Diceros bicornis minor: one gene and its partners. The protein of the gene in region 2 interacts with the protein of the main gene of each other region in a biochemical or structural test. Links are inferred from orthologs where the notes say so. Each region holds a gene or a part of one and is shown on either strand. Other genes may lie near its edges. The genes, in order: RAB5A, CHML and RAB1A.

The links.
Region 1: the proteins of CHML (region 2) and RAB5A form a complex in vitro, tested with the Homo sapiens proteins (2 studies listed by BioGRID). The link is inferred for Diceros bicornis minor from reciprocal best matches to the Homo sapiens genes CHML and RAB5A.
Region 3: the proteins of CHML (region 2) and RAB1A form a complex in vitro, tested with the Homo sapiens proteins (2 studies listed by BioGRID). The link is inferred for Diceros bicornis minor from reciprocal best matches to the Homo sapiens genes CHML and RAB1A.

The regions. Positions count from the first base shown.
Region 1 is NC_080741.1:25,753,795-25,761,823, forward strand, and holds the start of RAB5A (ras-related protein Rab-5A), read left to right. Parts: upstream 1-5,021; 5' UTR 5,022-5,107; intron 5,108-8,029. Other genes in the region: EFHB (EF-hand domain-containing family member B), read right to left, coding at 1-251. UniProt on the Homo sapiens protein: The small GTPases Rab are key regulators of intracellular membrane trafficking, from the formation of transport vesicles to their fusion with membranes.
Region 2 is NC_080777.1:3,502,588-3,510,535, forward strand, and holds the start of CHML (rab proteins geranylgeranyltransferase component A 2), read left to right. Parts: upstream 1-4,727; 5' UTR 4,728-5,022; coding exon 5,023-6,981; 3' UTR 6,982-7,948. Other genes in the region: OPN3 (opsin-3), read left to right, coding at 387-759. UniProt on the Homo sapiens protein: Substrate-binding subunit (component A) of the Rab geranylgeranyltransferase (GGTase) complex. Binds unprenylated Rab proteins and presents the substrate peptide to the catalytic component B.
Region 3 is NC_080751.1:22,658,797-22,666,628, forward strand, and holds the start of RAB1A (ras-related protein Rab-1A), read left to right. Parts: upstream 1-4,686; 5' UTR 4,687-4,891; coding exon 4,892-4,914; intron 4,915-7,832. UniProt on the Homo sapiens protein: The small GTPases Rab are key regulators of intracellular membrane trafficking, from the formation of transport vesicles to their fusion with membranes.

The DNA of each region.
Region 1 (8,029 bases), on a different chromosome or scaffold from region 2:
CCCTTGCTCAATGGAGATTTTGTTTCTGGTGATGCCATCCTCTCCTCGTATTTATTACTAACCAAGGGGCTCTCGCTCCATGGGGAATGTTCTTTTCCTAATGCCACTCTGAACCCCAACTCCGTGGGAGATTTTGTTTCCATAAAGACCCTCCTCTCTCTTAAGTCATCTTTTCCTTCGTGGGTGAGGCCGACCTTCATGCTCAGGGGAGATTTCCTTTCAGACACTCTCATTCCTTCAAGGGCACTCATCTCTAAGGGGAAAGCTGTACCTGGCTCGAGGGAAGTTCCCAATTCCTTGAGGGGGCCCAACTCTCACGAAAGAGCACATCTCCACTCGAACTCCCTGCCCGCTACTTAACACCTAGCGAAGCTCACAGGGAAAACGGAGCTGGAGGTCTGTTTACCCGGTTACCTGGGAAACAGGGGCGTCGCTTGGCGTGCAATTCTCTCTCCCGAGCAGATCCCCGCCCATCTCTTCCTCTTTCTCTTCCGTCCGTTTCTCTCTCTCCTCTTCTCCCTTTCCTCTCTGTCTCCCTCTTTCTCTCTCTCCCTCTCTCTCATTCTGTCACTTTTCCCCCCTTCTTTACCAGATTTGGAGATCAAGAAAACTTGAAGGATGTGGTCTTCGGCACTAGAGCAAATGCTCACCAACTTCTCTCTAGTTTCCCAAGCAATGCAATCCTCTTAGGATGGGTTCATCCATGGGCTTCCTCCTGGCCGGTGGCCGATTCATTTTACCGGTGATCAGGGAATAAATAACCCTTTTTCTGGTGGTGGCCACTAATTTTAGGTCCTTCCTTGTGCAAGTACATGTACACTGCATGTAGTTTAAAAGCCCTAAAAAACTACTTTAAATTCTGTAAAGTTATATTTGGCAGCTGTGGTATAGAAACATGTTCAAATCTGTGAGAACACATACTTTAATAACTAGCCTTTAAATATCATTTAAAGTAAATATATTAAAGTTTGAGATGTGTTACACAATAATGCATACTGAATTTTTAAAATATTGTGGCAAATTCAAACTTAATGTTTTTAAGTATGAGATTTTCTTTAAATTGGGGTTACACCTCTGTCAGGTTTTAATGAGAGCGTGTTTGGTGAATATTTGTCATGTTCTATACATACAGGAGACATAGAACACCTAGTTTAGAATTTGAATGGAATTTATGGGAATCCAATTTTTTTAAGAACTCTATGAAAAACTTAAAATCCAAAAATTTTAAAAGTGATAAGGATACTATTTCACATTTGTAAAAACCGTGTAATTTTCTAGATAGTTAATATAAATATTCTTCTCACCCTAATCACTTTAAATGACTTGATAGTGTATAAATCAAGGTATGTTTGTATAAGAGTTCATTCAATTCTTTCATTTTACAAATAGCTATTGAGTCCCTACCTTGTGTCAGTGCTCGGAATACAGTGGAATATAAGCCAATCCTTATCTCATGGAATTTATATTCTAGTGGGTATAAGTAACCATCAAGTAAACCAATAAATAAGATCATTTCACATAGTGATAAGTGTTATGAAGAAAACAATGCTTTGATGTAAAGGGAAGCTACTTTAGAATTGGGGGGCTTAGAAGTCCCTTAGGTAGGTGACATTTGAGCTTGCATGATGCCCTGCAGAGACATGCTTTTTAAACATGACTAGCTCAAGTTTCCACAGCATTTTTCTCAGCGTCTTGTCATCATGCCTACGATTCTTTATGTTAGAATTACCTTTTGGTTTGTCTCCAGTCAAAATGTTACCATTCCTTACCACCGAGGCAAAGACTCATTCTTCAACTACACAATGGAGGAAAGATTTCCTGGAAGGGAAAGTAGAAGATAGGGGGTGCAGTGGATGATTGAGAGATGCAAACTGCTGGGAATTTGTGAGTGGGTGTTTAGAGATTTGAGGGCAAAGGAAGCACTAAGAACAGTGTTCAAGTCTTTATGACTTTATTTAGGGCCCATCCATTTTATAGTTAGTCTATCAACAAGTAGGATCCCACATTTCCCACTAAAATATATACAATTATCAGTCCTCAGTCATCTGGAGTTAGGAAAAAACACAGGCATATTGTGAGTGGCAATACAAGAGCAAAGCTTACTGTGGCATTTCAATCTCTCCAAAATTACCACAGGATTCTAGAGGTGCTAGCCACTGGAGCAGCACCCTCCCAAGCAAACACTATGACTAAACAATAAAATATAGTGGAATGTATTCATGAAGGAGGTGAATTAAAAGATAAAATTGGTAGAAAGAAATGAATGAGGAAGCAATATCCTAGAACAATGAAATGGGAAGTTTCCAGCAATTTACAAATTTCAGCATCCATGTGTTATTTGTTAGGTCTTCTTAAGTCATACGTTCACCATTCTAAATGTAATTAAGTTCACCAATATTTTTGGGGTCCCTATTATATGAATCAAAGGTCCTCTGGAGGAATTGACGATTAAATTATGGTCCAAGCCCTCAAGAACTTTAAAATCCTAATGGGAATGAAAGTCTAAGGAGAAAAGTCTAGGCACTCTCTAACTGTAAAATAAGGCAGATATTAGAACCATTATAGACAGTAAGGCAAAGTATCATGAAACTATAGGAAAAAGATAACTAAATCCAGTGGAAGTATCATCAGATGTGGTCCAGAGGAGTTGGCATCCTGGCTAAGGTGAGACCTGCAGTGACAGGCAGTAATGGTGTTCCAAGTGGAGAAAACAAAGCGATCAAAGACACCAAGATGAGAACACACAAGCAACATTCTGGGAACACAGAGTAGACTGGTATGATTAGGGCACAAAGCAGGAGTTTGGGATAGAGGGAGGCTACAGAAACAGAATGAAAGAAATGTGGGTTGGGACTAGAGTTGAAGAACTTTGGACTGTATTTAGCAAGTAATGAGATAGCATTGAACATTTTTGAGTAGGAGAGTGACTGGCTACAGCATAAAGAACGGATAGAAGAGGCAGGAGCATGTATTAATTCCAGTTTATATGAATACTATCAGGGCCCAGGCTTTGGGATTACATCTCAGATTTAGGGATTAGAGAATTTTGGGTGATAGAATGGACAACGGTTTAAGAGGGAAAAAAGGACGAGTTGAAGATGATTCTGCTCTTTCAAGCCCATGTGACTGGGAGGCTATTAATACCAGTCACCAAGCAGAAGCAGGTTTGGGGTGGAATAGGTTTGGTTTTGGACATACTGTTGACATGCCAAAACTGATGTGACATATCCTATTTCCTGATTCTTCCTAGGATTGTCCCAGAGGTATTACCATGACTAACACATCATATTGGAACAACCCCTGGGGATAAAGTGCTACAGATACCACTTATGTATGACACATTATGCTCTTCTGGTTAGTAACTAGGGAGTTGATCTGAAAGACTGGCTATTCAAGGGTTTAAATCATCTTCATTACATAATGTTGACTGAGCACCAACAAGATACCTTACCCCAAGTACACATAGTAGACAATCCATATCGATGTCCTCACAACAGGGCTATAAACGGTAAACTGCACATTGAAAAGTAGCCCTTATCCTGAGGGAAAATCAATTTAACATTCTACCAAGTTACAAAACGAATTTTTGTTTTGTTTTGTTTTGTTTCAGATGCCTGGTCAGAGACTGTCTATCGTGTGAGATTTAACCAAAGAAGCCTGTCTTATATAGGTCTCCAGTGGAGGATAATTAATGGCTTGTTTTTCACTGCAGTCGTGCTTAAGCACTCAGGTTCTGGAGCCAGCCTGCAGGTTAGAATGCAATTTCATCACCAACTCCGCGATGATTTTGCACAAATTACTCAATCTCTGTGCCTCAAATTCTTTACCTGTAAAACAGGCACGCCTCATTGACTAATTCCACAACCATGACTTAAGACTCCTGGCTGCCAGGCACTGTGCTAATCAGACAGCGGTGAGGACCACTTTGGGGAGTTAACATTCTAATGCAGGGAGGCAGACGATGAAGTTAGTTTCAGAGTGAAAGCTTCATGGTGTAAGAATAAAATGGGATAATTCCTGTAAAGTGCAGGACCCGTGAAGGGAAACTCTGAATGAAGTTAGCTATTATTCTAGGATTTGCCCCTCCCCACCAAAAACAAGTAAACTCGCAATAAAAGCATGTTATTACTTTAAGACTTCCCCGCCTAAAGACAACTTTTGGGATGGGGAGGGTCTCATCCTCCTCCCCGCAGTAAACACCACTTACCGGCCCTGACCGACCCAACCATCCACAGGGACACGCTGGGGGGCTCTCTCGTGGTAGAAAAGTCCCCTCAAAAAAGCCCCTTAGGCGAGTTACCAGGGTTGGGATGTCGCGGGGTAGGGTACGGGGAACTGTGAGCTCATATACACAGAGGGAACTTCGCCGCCCCACGTACGCTGGAAGCAACAAACCCAAGATCTCTGGGGCTTCCCCGAAAGCTAGGCGGTAATGGAGTTTCCCCCCCGCCCCTCCCGCCAGGAGGCCAAGACCGCCGTCCAGATAACAATGGCGCCGGCGGGGGCGGGGCCGCGCGCGCCTCGGGTGAGGGAGGGAGGAGGGAGGCGGCGGGATCCGAGCCCACTGCCCGGGAGTCACGTGACAAGCCCCGCCCCGCGAACTGGCCCCCGCTGGGAGGGCTTTGAGAGGGGCGGGGCAACGGTTGGAGCGGTCGGACAGGTGACGACCGGAAGTGACGAAGGGGCGTAGTTCGCTACGTGCAGCGACGTGGCGGCGAGGTCGGCGCCGGGCGGCGGAAGTGGCTCCCGCGCTGGGACTTGAGTGTTTGTGTTTTGGTTTGCGAAGGACCCGGCGGCCGGCCTGTGGGGAGGAGGCAGAGGAGGGAGGAGGAGGAAGAGTTAGTCGGAACTCGAGCGCCGGCGGCGGCGGTGGCGGTGGCGACGGCGGCGGAGGAGAAAGGAAAGAGGAAGGCGGAGCGGAGAGAGGCGGAGACGGAGCCCGACGGGGGCGGCACCACGGCACGAGCACCGCACCGTCCAGTCTAAGGGGAGCAGCGCGAGGAGACGCGCCGCCGCCAAAGCCACAGCCTCGGCCTCCTCTCGGGACACGCCTGTGACCTGCTGCCGGGAAGCTTCAGCCCCGCGGCTCCGCGTGCTGCGGCCTCAGGTAACCAGACCGTCCCTCGCCCTGCCCACAGCGGGCCGGGACCCCGGGTTCTTCGCGGTCCCCAGTCTGTCCGCGGCCCTGCCGGCCCCGAGCCCCCCGCCCCTTCTCCCTCGCGCGCGCGGGTGTCCTGGACCGGAGTGCTGTCGAACCCGGCGTCTCGTCCTGCCGGCCTGGTGACTCATCCTTCAAGGGGCTCTGGAGACCAGGATTTGGGGACTGGCTGCGGGAGCGACGGGTGTCACCCTCTTCCCTTCTCAAGATGGCGCCGTGAAAGAGTATTGGAGGCCGCGGTCCCGCCTGGCTCCTGCCCTGGCAGCCCTGGGGGGTCCCAGCCAGAGCCAGGCCAGGTTCAGGGGAGGAGAATGGGAATGATGGCCAGGGGGCCTGGCGGATCCTGCTCGTTCAGGCGATCCGGAGTTTGGTGTCAGTTGCTCAGGTGATCTCCAAGGAGGCACCGGGGCCTACGGCAGGTGTGAATTTGGGGAGCTCCGCCTGCCTTCGACTTCCAGAGATGGCTAATGGAGGGAGGAGGAGGAGGCTCGTCAAAATAGGCTGTCTAGAGACTCTTGTCTCATCTATGGAAGGTGGTGAACCGCAGCTTTGAAGAACTCAAGACAGCTAGGCCGCTGAACACCCTCAGTGGGTAGAGACCATTAAACCTGCTCTGCTGTTCTCTTTCCTGGAAGCTGCTTACCCCCCTGAGACTTTTTAAGCTCTGAACGTCGTAATTCACATATTTGGTTTTTGTCTTTTGCTTAAGTGGAGTCACAGTGTTGAATCAGTTGGTTTTCGCATAACTAGTAGGAAAAAAACACGTATACACCATTGATAATTCAGGACAGCTCACAAACTTTATTCATAATGTAAAATGGGGATAATCATATAAGCTCATAGGGTTGTTGTAAGCAAAATTCATAGAATAGTGCTTGGCACAGAAGTATCTAGTAAATGTTTGCTGCTATTAAAGCAATTTTAATCAAAGAGCACCCAGAAGGACTTTAACTATAGAATACCAGTTATTTTCAAAAGATTAAAAATGCGTTTTATGGAAAATCTTGTTTTGCAAAATAGAGAAGTTTCAATAGTGAATACAAATGTGCGTTTTTTAACTGTAATGTTATGCTAACTATATATGTATAGTTAAATTTATTTTCTGTTTGAGAGCCTTAGGAGGAACCATAATCCAATAGCTTTAAACCTTAAAAGGCAAAGCTAATTCGTAATTTTTTTTAATGGGAATCTGATGTTTTCCCTGAAATTTTGGAAGTACCATGGAAATTCGGAGTATATTGTCCTTGATGAGTAATTTAGTTTACTGTTTGTAGGTAATCAGACAATTGGGAAGTGTTTCAATTGCTGTTCTATGTAATCTAAAGGTGTGTTGGTGCATTTTCATCTACGTGACATTCTGTTGATATTTGCTCATTATCTCATCAACGGTCCACTTTAATTGCCAATTTTCAATCCCTACTATGTGTTGACCACTGTATTGGAGAGTTTTTACATATATTCTCTCATTTAATTCTCACAGCAGCTATGTAAGTTAGGTATTCTGGAAGTAGAGATTTGGAAATGAAAGCACTTGTTCCAGCAGAAATTGGTATAGCCAGCCAGGATTGTATCCCCAAATCTGGTGTGTTTTGAAGGGGATGGGAGGATAGATATGGGGGTTGTAGCGTTTTTTCATTATGGAAAATTTTTTAAATATTCAGAGGTAGGGAGGATAGTGCAATGAACCTGTCACCTGACTTCAATTATCTTATGGCCAGTCTTGTTTTATTTACATTCCCATTGTTTGGAAGCAACTCAGACATATCATTTCACCTGTTAAGTATTTTGGTATGTATTACTAAAAGATAAGGACTCTTCAAAGCTGCTGTTTAGATGAGGCAGAGGTGATTTTATTGTCTCGAGAATGTAAGGCCTCATGGATAGGTTTATTAATGAATTCATGGTCAAGAGGAATTCTTGTATAAACTCATTTCGTGGGGAAGGCAAATTTGCTTATATCAGGTTCCTAAATGAAACATAACAGTGATTTTAGGGAGAGAATCATCAGATTTAATATTATTAGTAAGCCCATGATCAGATTTTGATTAAAGATAGGAGAAAACTATTATGATTGGTTTGTGAATGGATTGGAAAAGAGTTCTTTAAATGTTTACTAATTTCTTTGAGATTGAAAATTAGCGTTATTAGATAATGATAAGAGAAGACACACAAGTTGCCATTCCGGCTAGTTTCTTCTAAATGTGTTAAATACAAAATAATGACATAGCCCCAAAACTACAGAAAAGTATAAGTAAATAAGACACTAATAAGCTCACCACATAAGAGAACCATGGTTATCATTTGCCTGTATGATGTACTTGAGCACATGAGGAAACAATTCTGTCTTATAGCCACTAGACACAAACTTGGGAGCCTTTAAATATTTGTTGCTCCAAAATTACCATTAATTAAACAAAGAACATGTACCATTTATTTTATTTATATATGTTTTTTTAGGAAGATCAGCCCTGAGCTAACATCCATGCTAATCCTCCTCTTTTTGCTGAGGAATACTGGCTCTGAGCTAACATCTATTGCCAGTCCTCCTGCTTTTTTTTCCCCAAAGCCCCACTAGATAGTCGTACGTTATAGCTGCACATCCTTCTAGTTGCTGTATGTGGGACGCGGCCTCAGCATGGCCAGAGAAGCGGTGCGTCGGTGCGCGCCTAGGATCCGGACCCGGGCCGCCAGTAGCGGAGCGCACGCACTTAACCGCTAAGCCACGGGGCGACCTGAACGTGTACCATTTAACGGAGGCCTTCAGATTATAATGGCCAACATTTATTGAGTTCTTACTCTGTTCTAGGATCTGTTCTACTTATTAACATAATTTTCCTCAAAACTGCTTTAACCCATGTAGTCTGGCTCCAG
Region 2 (7,948 bases):
GGCGGGGGCTCGGCCGGGGCGGGGCAGCGAGGCGGCGCCGGGGGGCGGGGGCGCGGCGGGGGCTCGGCCGGGGCGGGGCTGCGAGGCGGCGCCGGGGGCGGAGTAGCGAGAGGCTACGGGGGGGGGTGGTGGGCCGAGGAGCGGCGGGGCAGCGAGGCGGCGCCGGGGGCGGGGGCGCGGCGGGGGCTCGGCCGGGGCGGGGCTGCGAGGCGGCGCGGGGGGCGGGGCAGCGAGGCGGCGCCGGCGCGGCAGGGGCGGGGCGAGGCGGTCCGCGCGCACCGTGGCCCGCGCCGTTGGCGGCGCCCGCGCCCCACCCAGTGCGGAGCCCGCCGCGGGCCGCGCGGGAGGCTGAGCGCGGCGCCCGCCGAGCGCGCCGGCGCCGGGCCATGTACGCGGGGAACCGGAGCGGCGGCCAGGGCTCCTGGGACGGCGGCGCGGCGGCGGGCGCCGAGGGGCCGGGCCCGGCGGGGACGCTGAGCCCCGCGCCGCTCTTCAGCCCGGGCGCCTACGAGCGCCTGGCGCTGCTGCTCGGCGCCCTCGGGCTGCTGGGCGTCGGCAACAACCTGCTGGTGCTCGTCCTCTACGCCAAGTTCCCGCGGCTCCGCACGCCCACCCACCTCCTGCTGGTCAACATCAGCCTCAGCGACCTGCTGCTGTCCCTCTTCGGGGTCGCCTTTCCCTTCGTGTCCTGCCTGAGGAACGGCTGGGTCTGGGACGCCGTGGGCTGCGCGTGGGACGGGTTTAGCAGCAGCCTCTTCGGTGAGTTGGGCTGGGGGGAGAGAGCGTCCTGCTGTCCTCTGCAAACTTCCACTCGCTGCATCGCCCCCGTCTCTGCGTCCTCTGCCACCCGGCCGCCCTCCGCTCCTCCCCGCTCCAGCTCCCCTGCACCAGCCTCGCCTCCCTCCGCTGCTTCCTCCTCCTGCAGCTCTTCCCGCCCCGCGCTCCCTCGTCTCCATCCCTGGGGCCGCTCATCCCCCCCCCCCCCACGCCGACCCTGAACCCGCCCAGCCTGCAGCCCCAGCTCCCGTTGTAGCTCCAGGTCCTCCGTGACTCTGTCCCGCTCATCCATTTCTCTGTGTTCACCTCCTCATATGATCCAACAGGGCACGAAACAACGGCTTGTACACTTGGAGGAAAGAAACGAGGGACTCTAGAGTCAAGAGATTCAAGACAAAGTGATTAACTCGAGAAAGGTGGAGAGGGTGATGAGAAGAGATTTAATTCATACACTGTTGCTTTCCTAAAAACGAGAAGTAGAAACCTAACAGAGTAGCAATGTGTAATTTTTTTTTTAAACGTTGTTCATTAGCGGTTGTAAACCTTTGAATGCTTCCTAGGAAGTGAGATCTTTTCATTCACGTTCTCAGAATGCAAATTGGCATGTGCCCTATAAGCTATTTTTACTACATTTTCCACCTTGTGGGTTCCAGCACACAAAAATCGAAGGTGAGATTACAAATGGCTCAGAGAATAACAACTCAGATGAACAAATAATTAGTTGTGCAGCCAGTAGATTTCACTAAATTAGAACTTGATTGTTAATTTAAGAGTTATTGAAACAATACTGCTAATCCTTATGGGAAATTTAAGTCTCACAGAAACTTGACATTTTGAAGGATGATCCATCCACCCAGTGAATCATTGCAGATGTGGTTTTCTCAGCTTGCAGAAGAAATTATCTTTTTGTGTGTGCTCCAGAAATTTCATTTATACAAATATTTGAAATGGAAATGTGTATTTCTCAGGTTTTAAAATTCGTTTTTTAAAAAAATTGTGAAATCCGTTGATAATTTATTACTGGTTTTATCTTGGCAGGCTTCTGAGAACAAAATCTTTGTAGCATTATCAAAAATGTTCTTACCAACCTCCTATGTTGTGACAAACTGAAATATTATATTCATTATGGTTCATTTTTTGATATTTTGAAGGAAACAAAACAATGTCTTAGCAATCGTGATTTTATTTATTGGATTGCCTCAATGATTCTAACATTCTAGTATTACCTCCCCCTCTCCAATAAGCATTAATTTGAGAATTTCATTTGTACAAAGATTTGAAACTGGGGAGGAGGCTGTATGTGTATGTGGTGGTAATGTAAGATGGCCCTGTGATTACACTCTTTATATTAATTTAAAATACCTATCAGGCCATTTTTTAGGCAGGGCTAAGCTTTAAAGAGGGTGATGCAAGCTTAAGCCTAAAGTGTCATCAGTAATGCTTCCTAACATGGGCCTTAGGTTTTGTTCACAGACATGAAAGTTCTTATTTCCAAGAAGTGCTTTTTCTGTGCTGGGTAATTCTATTTCTGTCCCAACCCTGTGCCTGGGAGTTTGAAAACAAGGGTATATTGAGTTCTTTAGTAGTGCCAGCATTCACCTTCTTCCTCATCTCTTCCCTTTGCGACCCCACCCTGCTGTGTCTCCTGTCTCTTCCATCCTTTTTCTCTCCTTCATCATCCCAGCTCGGATCCTGTCCCCATCAGAGGGATTTTCTAAGAGTGCTAGAAACGTTCACCGCAGGGTATTTTGCCTGATGACTGCTCTACTTCTCTGGGCGTTTAGTTAGTGCTGTCAACCATGACTTTATCCCTGCTTTGAAATTAGGGGTGGAAGCTCTGGGGTAAGCCATTAGGAGACTTGTTTAAGCCCTGGGGGCAAGTCAATTGGGGGTTATGATGGAGCTTAAACATTCTTAGCAAAGGTTAAGAATTTCTTTGCTTGGAGTAAACTCCAAGGATTGTGCTTCTAGGTGAGAATTGGAGATGAAGAAAGGGAGGGTGCTTTCCCCTTTGTTATCCCGGAGCAAGAACTAACCAACCATGGAGTATTGAAGGGGAAGAAATAAACAGATGTCAAAAGTGGCTGCTTGCTCCAGAGGCTTCTGGATAGGCTGCCCCATCAAATGGAAAGACCACTGGCCTGATGGCACAAGGGTGGATCCCAGTCTTGATCCTGTGGCTAACCCATTGTGTAGACTTTCTCAGTCACTTAATCTCTCCAGCCGTCAGTTTTCTTATCTCTATTATGGGGTAGTTGAGCTAAATGTTCTTTCAAGTTATCTTGTCCTACCTGCTATGTATTTTGAGGACTCTGATATCTGTAGGTTAGAAGGTGCCTGGTTTTAGCACTTATGGCTTGTATCCTTTCCTCTTACTCCCACCCTCATCTCTATTCCCTTCTAAGCCAAGAATAAGCACATACTATGGTTACGCTTCTTCATGTACCCGCATGGGTTCCGTCTTCTGCATCCCTACTGTAAGGAGGCAGAATAAGCAATTCAAACATACTGACATACATGTATCAGTAGGCTAGGCAACCCCTTCATTCTGTGCTCCATTCTTGATTTCTCAGGGAATGCTGAAAACAAGTAGAATTCCTCATATTCTTGAGGCAGAGGCTCTGACTACACAGGACTGTTAAGATTGTCATTTCACTTAAACTGACCAGTCAGTTCAGTGAACTAGTCAATTGAATGGCTTGTTTTACAAATGTCCGAGATGATTAGTCATCTTAGCCTAGGTGGGCCTGATTTATACTGATCTAGATTTCAGTAAGTTTAATGGTAGGGAAAATCAGAGCTCAGAGAGCTCTCGCCCTTCCTGGGCAGTGATGAGTGATAGGAAGGCCCCCCAGCATGTGGTGTGCGGAGTGCGTTAACCTAAAGACTTCCAGGTGAGTATGCCTTTCACCCCCTGGGCCCTTCCCTCTCTGGCTGCACCTAGCACCACGCCAATGTTCTGCACATGGAATATAACCAGTGTTAGGCTTGAAGTTAACAGGAGAGACTTTCTTCACTACCACCTCCTACCCCTTCATAAACAGGAACGACAAACAACACGTTAATCTTGGCAGACGATGTTTAGACAGACTTTTATCTTGGGAGACAGAGATTCAGGGACATAGAGCCAGAGTCTGACAAAATGCAAGCCACGTGATTCAAATGTTAGAAGTAGGTATTATTTATATTAAGATATTTTAACGTATGAACCCAGGAATTTTCCTTTTTAACTTACACCTAAAAAACATACATGTGCATATGAACATTCACGTAAAGATTTGTTATAAATACATTTATTTTCCCTTCAGTAGACCTATTCTTTCATGCACTTAAATATTTTAAAATGCCAGTTGTTTTACAGAATTAATCCTTTTGTAATGATCTGACTAATAAATTCGGTTGAAATGGTCTCAGGTTGCTACCACGAGATCCTAAGGGTAGGTGGGGCATGGAAAAATCAGCTGTCCTGGAATCACCCACAGACTGTAGTGGCCACAGAAATATTCCTAATCATGACAATGTGCACATAGTATGTAGTCTGTTTCCATAAACACTGTGGAGCCACACATATAGGATAAGCTCACAGCTCTGTATAGTTTTATTCAAATGTTGGTTTTCTTAAAAACAAAAGTTATAGAATTGCATTGTGTTCATTCTTCTTTATTTTTGTGGGACATTGTTATGTCCATTCTTCATTATTGAATTGGCTGATTTGGAGGGGTGTATCTCTATTGTTCATTTTCAAGAAATTAGGAAATAGGTGAGAAAGCACTGAATGACTTGCTTTGGTAGACGCTTGTGTCCTGCTAACAAGCCAGGCTTCAGTGGATTGTGATTGCTGTTGCATGAAATTACTTTTCTCCTAATATCGTTTACAATTGTATCCTTTCTTGAATTTTCTTCTTTCAGAGAAGAGTTCCAGTCACAAATGCATATGTATTGCATTTTGACATTTACTGCTAAGATGAAATGCAGAAATGAAAACCACACATCCGTTTTAGTGTTCTCAGATGTGATTAGATGTACTTTATCGTGTTTTTATGCTACTGACCTATAAGAAAAAAATATTAACAAAGGGTAACAGTTAAACAGCTAGGACCTGCAACCTCGATGCTTCTGGGATGAACTGGAAAATCACAAGGAGAGCTTTCAGTACAGCCTGTTCACACCTCATCTGAGCCCTCAGCCGAGACTCATACACATATCCTTCATCGGCAGCTGTCACCAGACGCTGTACCTCCCAGGATGGCGGACAGTCTCCCGACAGAGTTTGATGTGGTCATAATAGGGACGGGTTTGCCTGAATCCATCCTTGCAGCCGCATGTTCAAGAAGTGGTCAGAGGGTTCTGCATCTTGATTCGAGAAGTTATTATGGAGGAAACTGGGCTAGTTTCAGCTTTTCAGGGTTGCTCTCCTGGTTGAAGGAGTGTCAGCAAAACAGTGACTTTGGGGAAGAAAGTGCTGCTGTGTGGCAGGACCTGATCCGTGAAACAGAAGCAGCCATCACTCTTTGCAGGAAGGATGAAATCATTCAACACACGGAAGTGTTTTGTTATGCCAGTCAGGATGTGGATGACAATATGGAAGAGACTGATGCTCTACAGAGAACTCCTTCCTCGGAAGCGTCCAGTACCCTCACTAAACCTCCAGATTCGGCATGCTTGGCTGCAGAAACACACCATGTTACAAGCTATGAAATGCCTGCCAAAGACACTGCAAAAAATGTTGGAAAGATTTCACTAGAAGTCACTGATGTAGAGGAAACCCTAGTGAAAGAAAGTAATTGTGGAGATAAAACTTGTATACACACAGTTTCAGATGGAGATAAAGATGAAAACAAACCTGTAGTGAAAGACAACACTGATCAACCAAAGAGAAATAGCATTACTTACTCTCAAATAGTTAAAGAAGGCAGGAGATTTAATATTGATTTGGTGTCAAAGCTGCTATATTCTCAAGGATTACTAATTGATCTTTTGATTAAATCAAATGTTAGTCATTATGCAGAATTTAAAAATGTCACTAGGATTCTTACATTTCGAGAAGGAAAAGTAGAACAGGTGCCTTGTTCCAGAGCAGATGTCTTTAATAGCAAAGCACTCACTATGGTTGAAAAGAGGATGCTAATGAAATTTCTTACATTTTGTGTAGACTATGAACAACACCCTGATGAATACCAAGCTTTCATGCAATGCTCATTTTCAGAGTACTTAAAAACTAAAAAATTAACCGCCAGCCTCCAACATTTTGTACTACACTCAATTGCAATGACAGAGTCATCTTGCACTACAATAGATGGCCTTAAAGCAACAAAAAACTTCCTTCAGTGTCTTGGACGATTCGGAAACACCCCCTTCTTATTCCCCTTGTATGGCCAAGGAGAAATTCCCCAGTGTTTCTGCAGGATGTGTGCAGTTTTTGGTGGAATCTATTGTCTTCGCCATAAAGTACAATGCTTTGTAGTTGACAAAGAGTCTGGAAGATGTAAAGCAATCATAGATCACTTTGGCCAAAGAATAAATGCTAAATATTTTATTGTGGAGGACAGTTACCTTTCAGAGGACACGTGCTCAAATGTGCGTTATAAGCAGATCTCCAGGGCAGTGCTCATTACAGATCAGTCTATACTAAAGACAGATTCAGATCAACAGATTTCCATTTTGATAGTGCCTCCAGCAGAACCAGGAACTTGTGCTGTTCGGGTCATTGAGTTATGTTCTTCAACCATGACATGCATGAAAGACACTTATCTGGTACACCTGACCTGTTCATCTTCTAAAACAGCAAGAGAGGACTTAGAATCAGTGGTGAAGAAATTATTCATTCCATATGGTGAAACAGAAATAGACAAGGAAGAAGTTACAAAGCCAAGACTCTTGTGGGCTCTGTATTTTAACATGAGAGATTCCTCAGGAATCAGCAGAAGCTCCTATAATGGCTTACCTTCCAACATTTATGTCTGCTCTGGGCCTGACTGTGGACTGGGAAATGAGCATGCAGTCAGGCAAGCTCAGACACTTTTCCAGGAGATCTTTCCAAGTGAAGAATTCTGCCCCCCACCTCCAAATCCAGACGACATTATCTTTGATGGTGATGACAAGCAACCAGAGGCTCCTGGAACCAAAAATATAATAATTGCCAAACTAGAATCCTCTGAGGAATGCAAAAACCTAGAAAGCCCAGGAAAGCACCTTCAAAATTAGAAAAGAGCAAACTGGAAAGGCTACTTTGGGCCTTCATTTTGACATCAGAATATGAATTATTAGAAGTGGTTATATGATGAATGCTATGCAGACGTTGTCTTTAATTCTCTTTGAGACATTCAGTCATTGGACGCTTTGTTAACCTATCAGTAACTGATTTATTGGTTATTGGACTTCTGTTTGTTTCAGAATGGGCTCCATGATTCAGCATCTTAAACAGGGTTAGCTTTATTTTAGTATTGGGTATATATGTGAGGGTTCCGTATTAGGAGCTGTGCTTAAAGGAAGGTAATATTGTATCTGCTAATGATCTTCAGATTTTATTGTCTACAATAACAACAATATCTAAGGAATATTTTAATTACTTTGTAGCTATTACAGTTGCTACCACCTCTGAATAGTGAAACACAGTAAATTTTGTGGATCTTTCATGTATAATATAAACATACAGACAAGGTGGTAGCAATAGCAACTAATGCAAGTGCCAGTATGATAAAATACATTTGTTTGTAACTGTTAAAAGATTAGCTTTGCATGATCCTTTATTTGTGAAGGTCTGATGTTTACAGTACATCTTGCAGCTTAATTCGCCTACTTGATGCTTGTAACCAATGAGGCAGTGACGCCACCACAGTCTTCTGCATTACGGAGTTGGAGAGTTCAGTTGGTAGTTGAAGAGCTCATTCTTGGGAAGCTCATTCCAAAGAAGATCTAGGGGATAAGATTAGTTCTGGTTTAACACTTCAGAAAATTTCTGCAGAGCCCTGCTCTGGCACCTAAAAGAAAAGAACTTCCAACAGGTAGCTCACGCTGAAAGAAAAATTAAATTGCCCCAGGAAAAGATGCTTCAGAACAGCTGTTCTGAAATTCCTAAGGAGAAAGTGAGGGAGGCATTTCTGACCTGGGATGGATTTCCCAAGGTTTCTCAGGAGGGTGAACAAGTCCACCTTGTTGGCTATACCACTTC
Region 3 (7,832 bases), on a different chromosome or scaffold from region 2:
AACAAGCCCAGGTGGCCTAGTCACATGGACCAACCCCCTTAACATTCCTCAATGCCTTTTCCTCAGCACACCCCAGCTCTTAAAAAGTCTATCTTTCGTTTCAGTGACATTGAGTTCAGTTCACACTGGGCCCTCTTCTCTACTGCAAGTTATTACTGAATGAAATCTATCCTCACAGCTTTAACTAGTGTCTGGCTTTGTCTATCTTTGACAGTCTTCCGTCTTTTGTGCTGATTCAGAAGGACAGACGGACAATTTCTGGTAGTTCTAGTACTTCCACACGAGGGCAGCTTTAACCCTGACCTTGAACCACATAGCACTGTCTACCTTCCTCCTTCTCTACCCCACTCCAGGCCCCTTGTCCCCTGTTTTCTGCCTTGCTGGGCCTTGGTTCCCATGCTGGCAGGGAAACTGGATATCTCTGGGTCACTTTTAGCTCCTCCCTTCCCTCACGCCTTCAGATTCTATCTCCTCCTCTCTGGAATCTCCTCTCCTTTCCATTCTTTATGCAACTGCCCTAGGTCAGGACACATCATCTTTTGCCTAAATGAATCTAGTTACCTTTTTTTTTTGTGAAGAAGATCAGCCCTGAGCTAACATCCATGCCAATCCTCCTCTTTTTGCTGAGGAAGACTGGCCCTGGGCTAACATCCGCACCCATCTTCCTCCACCTTATATGGGACACCGCCACAGCATGGCCTGACAAGCGGTGCATCGGTGTGCGCCCGGCATCCGAACCAGGGCGGCCAGGAGTGGAGCGCGTGCACTTAACCGCTAAGCCACGGGGCCGGCCCCCTCTAGTTACCTTTTAACTAATTTCTCTACCTCCAGTCTCCACAGAACTCCAAAGTGCTCCTTTTAAACCACTGAGCTGAACACCTCACTCTCCTTCTCAGAACTTTTCTTGACTCTCTGCTGCTACGGAATCAAGTTGAAACTCCTTAGCAGGCATTTGGGGCTCCCCATGATCTCACCTTAACCTAAACATCTCCCAACTCATCTCCCATGGAACCTCTGTTCACTATTCCTTAAACACATGGATATCTTCACACTTCTAGGGTTATGCTCACATTCTTTTGTCATTCTAGGATAAATGGCTCCCTCTCCCCCATTTCTGCCAATGATCAAAATTTTATTCTTTTTCAAGGCCTAATTCAAATACCGTCTCCTTCATGAAAGCACTCTCAACGGTTTGAATTGGAATTATTTCCCTCCTCTGTACTTCTACCTTGTTCATTTTTTTTTTTTTTTTTTTTTTGTGAGGAGATCAGCCCTGAGCTAACATCCGCCAATCCTCCTCTTATTTTTTTGCTGAGGAAGACGGCCCTGGGCTAACATCTGTGCCCATCTTCCTCCACTTTATATGGGACGCCGCCACAGCATGGCTTGCCAAGCAGTGCGTCGGTGCGCGCCCAGGATCCGAACCAGCGAACCCCGGGCCGCCGCAGCGGAGCGCGCGCACTTAACCGCTTGCGCCACCGGGCCGGCCCCTACCTTGTTCATTTTTTAATGTCAGGTTCATAATTGAGGTAAAATTTATATACAGTTAAATTCACTCCTTTTAGGAGTATAGTTCTGAGTTTTCACAAGCATATACAGTTGAGTAACTAACCACCACCACAATGAACATATAGAGTATTTCCATCAAACCAAAAAGTTCCCTTGTGTCTCTTTGTAGACAATTCTCTCCTCCCATTCCTAGTTCTTGGCAATCACTGAATTTATTACTGTCCTTATACACCTCATATCATTTTAATTTATTTTTGCATTTTCCCATATAGGTCTTGTTTGTGGACACATCTTTCTCTCACTGGGTTGTAGTCTCCTTGCAGACAGAAAGTTGTAATTATTCACCTTTGTATTTCTCATGGTTCCAAGAACAAGTTCCAAACACATTTATTATGTGCCAGGTCATAAATATTTGATTTAAAGAAAAGGGAAGATGGGGCCAGACTGGTGGCGTAGTGGTTAAGTCTGCGTGCTCCGCTTCAGCGGCCCGGGGTTCGTGGGTTTGGATCCTTGGCGTGGACACTGCTAGTCAAGCCATGCTGTGGCGGTGTCCCATATACAAAGTAGAGGAAGAGTGGCACAGATGTTAGCTCGGGGACAATCTTCCTCACCACCCCCCCCCAAAAAAAAAGGAAGAAAAGGAAAAGGAAAGAAGGAAGGAAGGAAAGAAGGGAGGGAAGGAGGGAGGGAGGGAGGGAGGAAGGAAGGAAGGAAGAAAGGAAGGAAGGAAGCCAAAGGACAGATGGACAAACAGCCCTAGGAGAGTTTTGATTCAACGATAGGGCAGCCAACAAGGCTCGTGGTAGTTTAATAAATTATTCTGAGTTATTAATCTGAACTATAAAAGTAGCTGCTCTTAAACACCTAAACATAAAAAAATATATTAAAGTTTGAATCAGCAAAACTGACACTTGAAGTTTGGGAAGGAAGTCTTAATATAAATAACATATGAGTTGTAGTCCGGGGTAGAAAACAAACACCCGCCACCCGCAAGCTAGGCTGCCTCTGATCTTCTTGCATATTACAGCACCATAACTAAGACACAAGGCGGAGAAGTTAAGGGAAGGAGAAAGGTAATTAGCCTTTACCAAGTGCCCCAAAAGTCATAGTATTATATGCTTTATAATCTGTTTTATTTAATTCTTACAACCACTCTCTCACTTGAGTTATAAGTTATTAGGAGGTAATTCTTTGTTGGGAAAGGAAATACGTAATTAGAGGAAGTTTAGGGGTATACCTCCAAGGGCAGGGACAGGTTAAAAATTGTAGTTTTGGCTCAGGATGAGTTCTTTGGAGATTTTCTGAGTGTTTCTTCTGTGAAATCACAACAAGCAGGAAAGGACAAAAGTCCAGGGTAATACACACTTTTCGATGTCTATCATCGATCCATTCAAGGTGCTTCACCGTGGTGTGGTGACCCCGCTCATTTCAGAAGCCAACATGATGTGAAGGAACTCTACTGTACTGTTTGATGAAGTTGTCAACCAAGGCACATGGTGGAATTTGGGGGTTAAGGGGTGTAGTTAGTAAATGGGTAGCAATAAGAACTGCCTTCTTTCCATATTTTGGCATCACGGGAATTTAAAGTGATTTTGCAATCACTCTTGGGAGATAATTTTCTTGGTTCTTAGAAAAAGTTGGAAGATAAACTTTGGACAATGTATTATACTATGCCCTTTGTAATTAAATAACCCAAGATAATGTGTTAAAGTTTAGTGGAGATTTAAATTCCTGAGCTGATTAAAGAGAGCTGTTTAGACCATAAGGTTTTAAAAAATGTTATGTTCATATTACTCCTGGAGTTTCTAGGCATTATATAGTGATGAATCACACATTTCTATCGTTTATTACTTTCCAATCTTGCAGAACAGCTCAGTATTAAATATCAACTAAAAATAAGTACAATTCATGGGCCAGCCCCTGGCTTAGCGGTTAAGTGCGTGAGCTCCACTGCTGGCGGCCCTGGTCCGGCCTGGGCACGCATCGACGCACCGCTGCTCCAGCCACGCTGAGGCCGCGTCCCACATACAGCAACTAGAAGGATGTGCAGCTATGACATACAACTATCTACTGGGGCTTTGGAGGAAAAAAATAAATAAAAATTATAAAAATAAGTACAATTCAACTTGAAGGCTGGGACCAGGGCAGGAAGACCTCGAATTTTTGACTGACTCTGGGCTGTGTTCCGTGGACGGAAAGTGGAGCCATTGAAAGTTGTGGGGTCGTGATGACAATGCTGTTTCAGGAAGATCAATCTGCCTGTGTGTGCAAATGGCCGGGGGCAGAGAGGAAAAAGAGGCAGTTAGCCCACTCAAAGGATACTGCAATACTGGGCTGAGGCGATAAGAGCAGGGCTGGAAAGAGAGCGGTAAGAAATCAAAAAAGAAAATGGTACTGCCTGCGGCCAACACTGGCCGACGACCGGACCCAGTGGGGCTGGGTGAGTGAGGAAGAGAACTGAAAGAATGGCTTCATATTATCCAGAGACTCCCAAGAATGGCTTCATATTATCCAGAGACTCCCAAGTTTTCAGCCCAGGCCCCTGACTCCTCTTCCGTCCTTAGAGCGGACGTCCTGGTACCAGCCGCTAAGCTCAAGCCTCAAGCTGGCCAGACCAGCAAAAGGCCCACGGGAGGCAGGACCGGCCAGGAGTGTCCTCCAGCCCCACTTGCTTCCAGACCTCCGCATTCATGCCGTCCCTCCGGCACAGCTCCCTCTGTCCCCAGCCCTCGGAGCCCCCTGATCTCCCCCCACCCCTACTCTCCCTCGGCGGCTGGCACCGCCCTCTGCCCCTCCCTTCCCCCCTCCCCCGTGGGGCGCTGACTCGCCCGGCTGCCACGTCTCACTGATGACATCACCAGGGCCGCTCGGCCTTAGCCAATCCGCTAGGGGGAGTCCGAGCGAAGTCCTAGCCAGCGAGTCAGCGGGGAGGGGAGCTGGGAGGGGCGAAGGGGGTGGTGAGAGAGTGGGGAATGGGGCGGGCGACAACCCCTCAAGTACGCATGCACCAGAGGCGCGGGGCTTGGCGGGAAATGGAGTCCCGGCCGTCGCGCCGCACCGTCTGTCCCAAGAGCCGACAGCCACGCTCACAACTCTCTTTCCCGGCATGCCACGCGGTGCGACCGCCCTCTGGGCTCTGTAAAGACCCCCTCGGTCTAAGGCTTTCCTATTTCCTGGTTCGCCGGCGGCCATTTTGGGTGGAAGCGATAGCTGAGTGGCGGCGGCTGCTGATTGTGTTCTAAGGGGACGGAGTTGGGGAAGACGTTTGCTCTCCCGGAACAGCCTATCTTATTCCTCTCCTTTGGTTACCCGTGGTGCAGAGAGTCAGGGCGGCGGCTGCAGCAGCAAGGGCGGCGGTGGCGGCGGCGGCAGCTGCAGTGACATGTCCAGCATGAATCCCGAATAGTGAGTGCAGGAGAGCACCGGTCGGCTGGGTCGGTGGGCCACCTTGGGAAAGCTTAAAGGGGGCGAGGAGGGCTGGGGCGGGAGTAGGGGCCTCGGCCGGGATGAGGTGAGGGTGATGGGGTAGGAGAGGCTGGCGGCCGGGAGTCAGGCCCCATTGTCTGAGGGAGGAGGTGCGGCCGGGGGAGGGGTCGGGCCGGAGGGGTGAGTCACCTGGGCCTGGACCGGGTCAGTTTGGAGGGCCTGAGTGCGGGCCCGGGGCAGAGGAACAGTCTGCTGCGGGGTTGGGGCTTTTGGGAGTCGGTAGTGAGGTGATGGGAAGAGGCAGCTTCTCTTGGAGGCAGTGACTTTTGAAGGAGGACTTGTTTTTAAGGGGAGGGGAGAGGGTGGGAGAGCACTCCTAGAGGGCACTGTCAGTCTCTGCTCCCGCACTCTGCGGAGCTGTCAGAATCGTCGGGGTGGAAACCAGCTTCACTTGTAAATCCTGAGCTTGTTGGCTCTCTTTCCTTCCATTCTCCCCGCCAGATTGCAGGTAATATGGATGCTTTTCAGGACTGCGGGGGATTGAGGGGAATGAGTAGATGGCGAGAAGCAATTTAAAATGTTTAGTTCTCTTTTTGAATTATTTCCTGGAGTTCTTTGAGAACTCGCCAGGCCCGTTGCCTTCCTAAAAACCTGGGCATTTGTGAGAATTTTTTATAGAGGACACTGAAGTCATTTTGTCTAGTGGAGGTCAAGAGAAAAAAAAATAGAACTAAAACGTAGGAACACTTTTCTGATAGTATCACCAAATTAAAGGAAGACTTTGCTGTGAAGTTGGCAGAGAAACGAATGGACCCCATGATAGATCTGTAGGTTTTGGATTACCTACTTGAATGCTTGCAGATAGGGAATGAGGTTCCATGACGTGTCATGAAAAGTTAATGCATTTCTTTTTCTTGCTTACTCAAGAAGTCACTACAGCAGATGTGATATACCTGGCACCTTTCCTAGGAACTGGGGTTCACTTTCCCTGGGAAGACTTTGTTGAGCTCTCCTTAATGGCCCTTTAAAAAAATCCCCCTACTGTTTGCATATATAAATTAATGAATAATTAGAGGAGATTTAACTGGTATTCTACTACAGTGTCAGAAGGCTTTGGGGGAGAGGGGGAATTTTTTTAAAGCATAAAATCAGTATTTGTCCTGAAAGTTGAGTTTATTTGCTGCTTTGGTCAATTACTGCTAAACATTTCCTCTAAAAGATCCACCCATGAGTTTAGCTGACTGTCATGTGTGTGTCACATGGCTCTTGCAAAATGCACTCTGACTTTGTTTTGTAATACTGTGGTTGGATGCTGAAATGTCCCCTTTTGTACTAAACAGAAGCTATAGTATTTTATTAAAATTTTATATACTTGAAGAAGTTGAGGATAGTATTCTAATAGTGCCATATTTGCTATCTTGGCAGTTTTGTATTTCTTTGTCAAGGGCTCCAAGAACAAAATTGGTTTTGCATAGTTGGGCAGAGTTGAACTTGGGGTCCCTAATTTAGTAGTTTTCCTGGCAACAGTCAAGTACGTGGATGTGCTACTTTATGGAGGTTTGTAAACCTCTTCTGTTCAGGGAGTTTCTTATATTTGCTACATATATTTAGTATTGTACATAGATCTTGAGGATTAATTGAACAGGACTTACGACAAATTATTTAGCCTCTGAATTTGTTTCTCCTTTTGTAAAATAAGGTAGTAGGAGTCGTTATTCCTCTCAGGGTAGTTGTGAGGTTCAAGTGTTTGTAAAAGAATTTAGAAAACTATAAGAGCACTCTAGGTTTTGTATGTCATGTAAGACATTCTAGTAGTGCTAGGATTTAGGAATATAATCCTTACCCTCAAGGAGCTTATAATGGAATATAGAAAGTAGACTGTATATAGATCAAATACCAGTAGATATAGCAAGTTCCACATGTGCAGCATGGATTGGAGCAACAAGATTTCAAAGGAGGGTGGAGGGTTGTGGTTGGCTAGTTGGGTTCAGGAAAACTTTATAGAAAAGATACCTGTAAGAGAATTACTAGCAATGGATTTGGAGAAGCAGAAGGGAGTGAGGAGGATCTTTCAAGGGGGAAGAAGGAAGAAGAATGATTAATAAATGGCAAGGATAGTAATTCTTAAGTAAATACAGTGCCAAACCACCCTTTCGTTTGAGGATTCTAGATTAATGACCTCAACAGAATCAAACCCAGAATCATTTTTATATTTTTTCTGGCATGGAGTATGCCAGTACCTGGGCTACTGTATTTATATTCTAGACTGTGTCTGGTAAAATAATCTAGGAATTTGGGAAAACCTTTGGAAAAGCGTTAGTGAAAATTACTTGAGATGAGAGGAGGTGATGGATATTTTATTTGGGAAGGTCACAGGGGCAACCAGCAGGCAGATTTTTAGCCATCTGACTTCAGCAGTTTCTTCTTTTTGTCTTTAATGAAGCTTGTTACCATAATAAAAGTAATTAGAGAAAAATTGGAAAATAGAGAAAAGAAGGAAAGAAATTCTTAGGTTTTATCACCCAAATATAAGTCCATTTAACACCTTGTTCTAAACTTTAAAATCTTATATTTTTCTTAAATTAAAACTTTTAATGAGTGAGTACCTTTCCATGATTCCATGATGTTGTCTTCGTAGCTAACATTTATAGCCACTTATCATAAGCCAGGTATAATATTATATGTTGTAATACATGTGTATTATAGCATACACATTTATATGCTAATGCAAAAGAATAGTATACTAGCTAATATTTACAAGTGCACCCCAAATGTTCCTTGTTTTGGTTTATTATCTACGAATTTATGTTATTCCTTTTAGAAACTTTAAAAATTGTGGATGCTGCTGAATTTGGTAATGAAAATGGGTTCTTGACAAAAAGTTTGGTTCTCTCAGA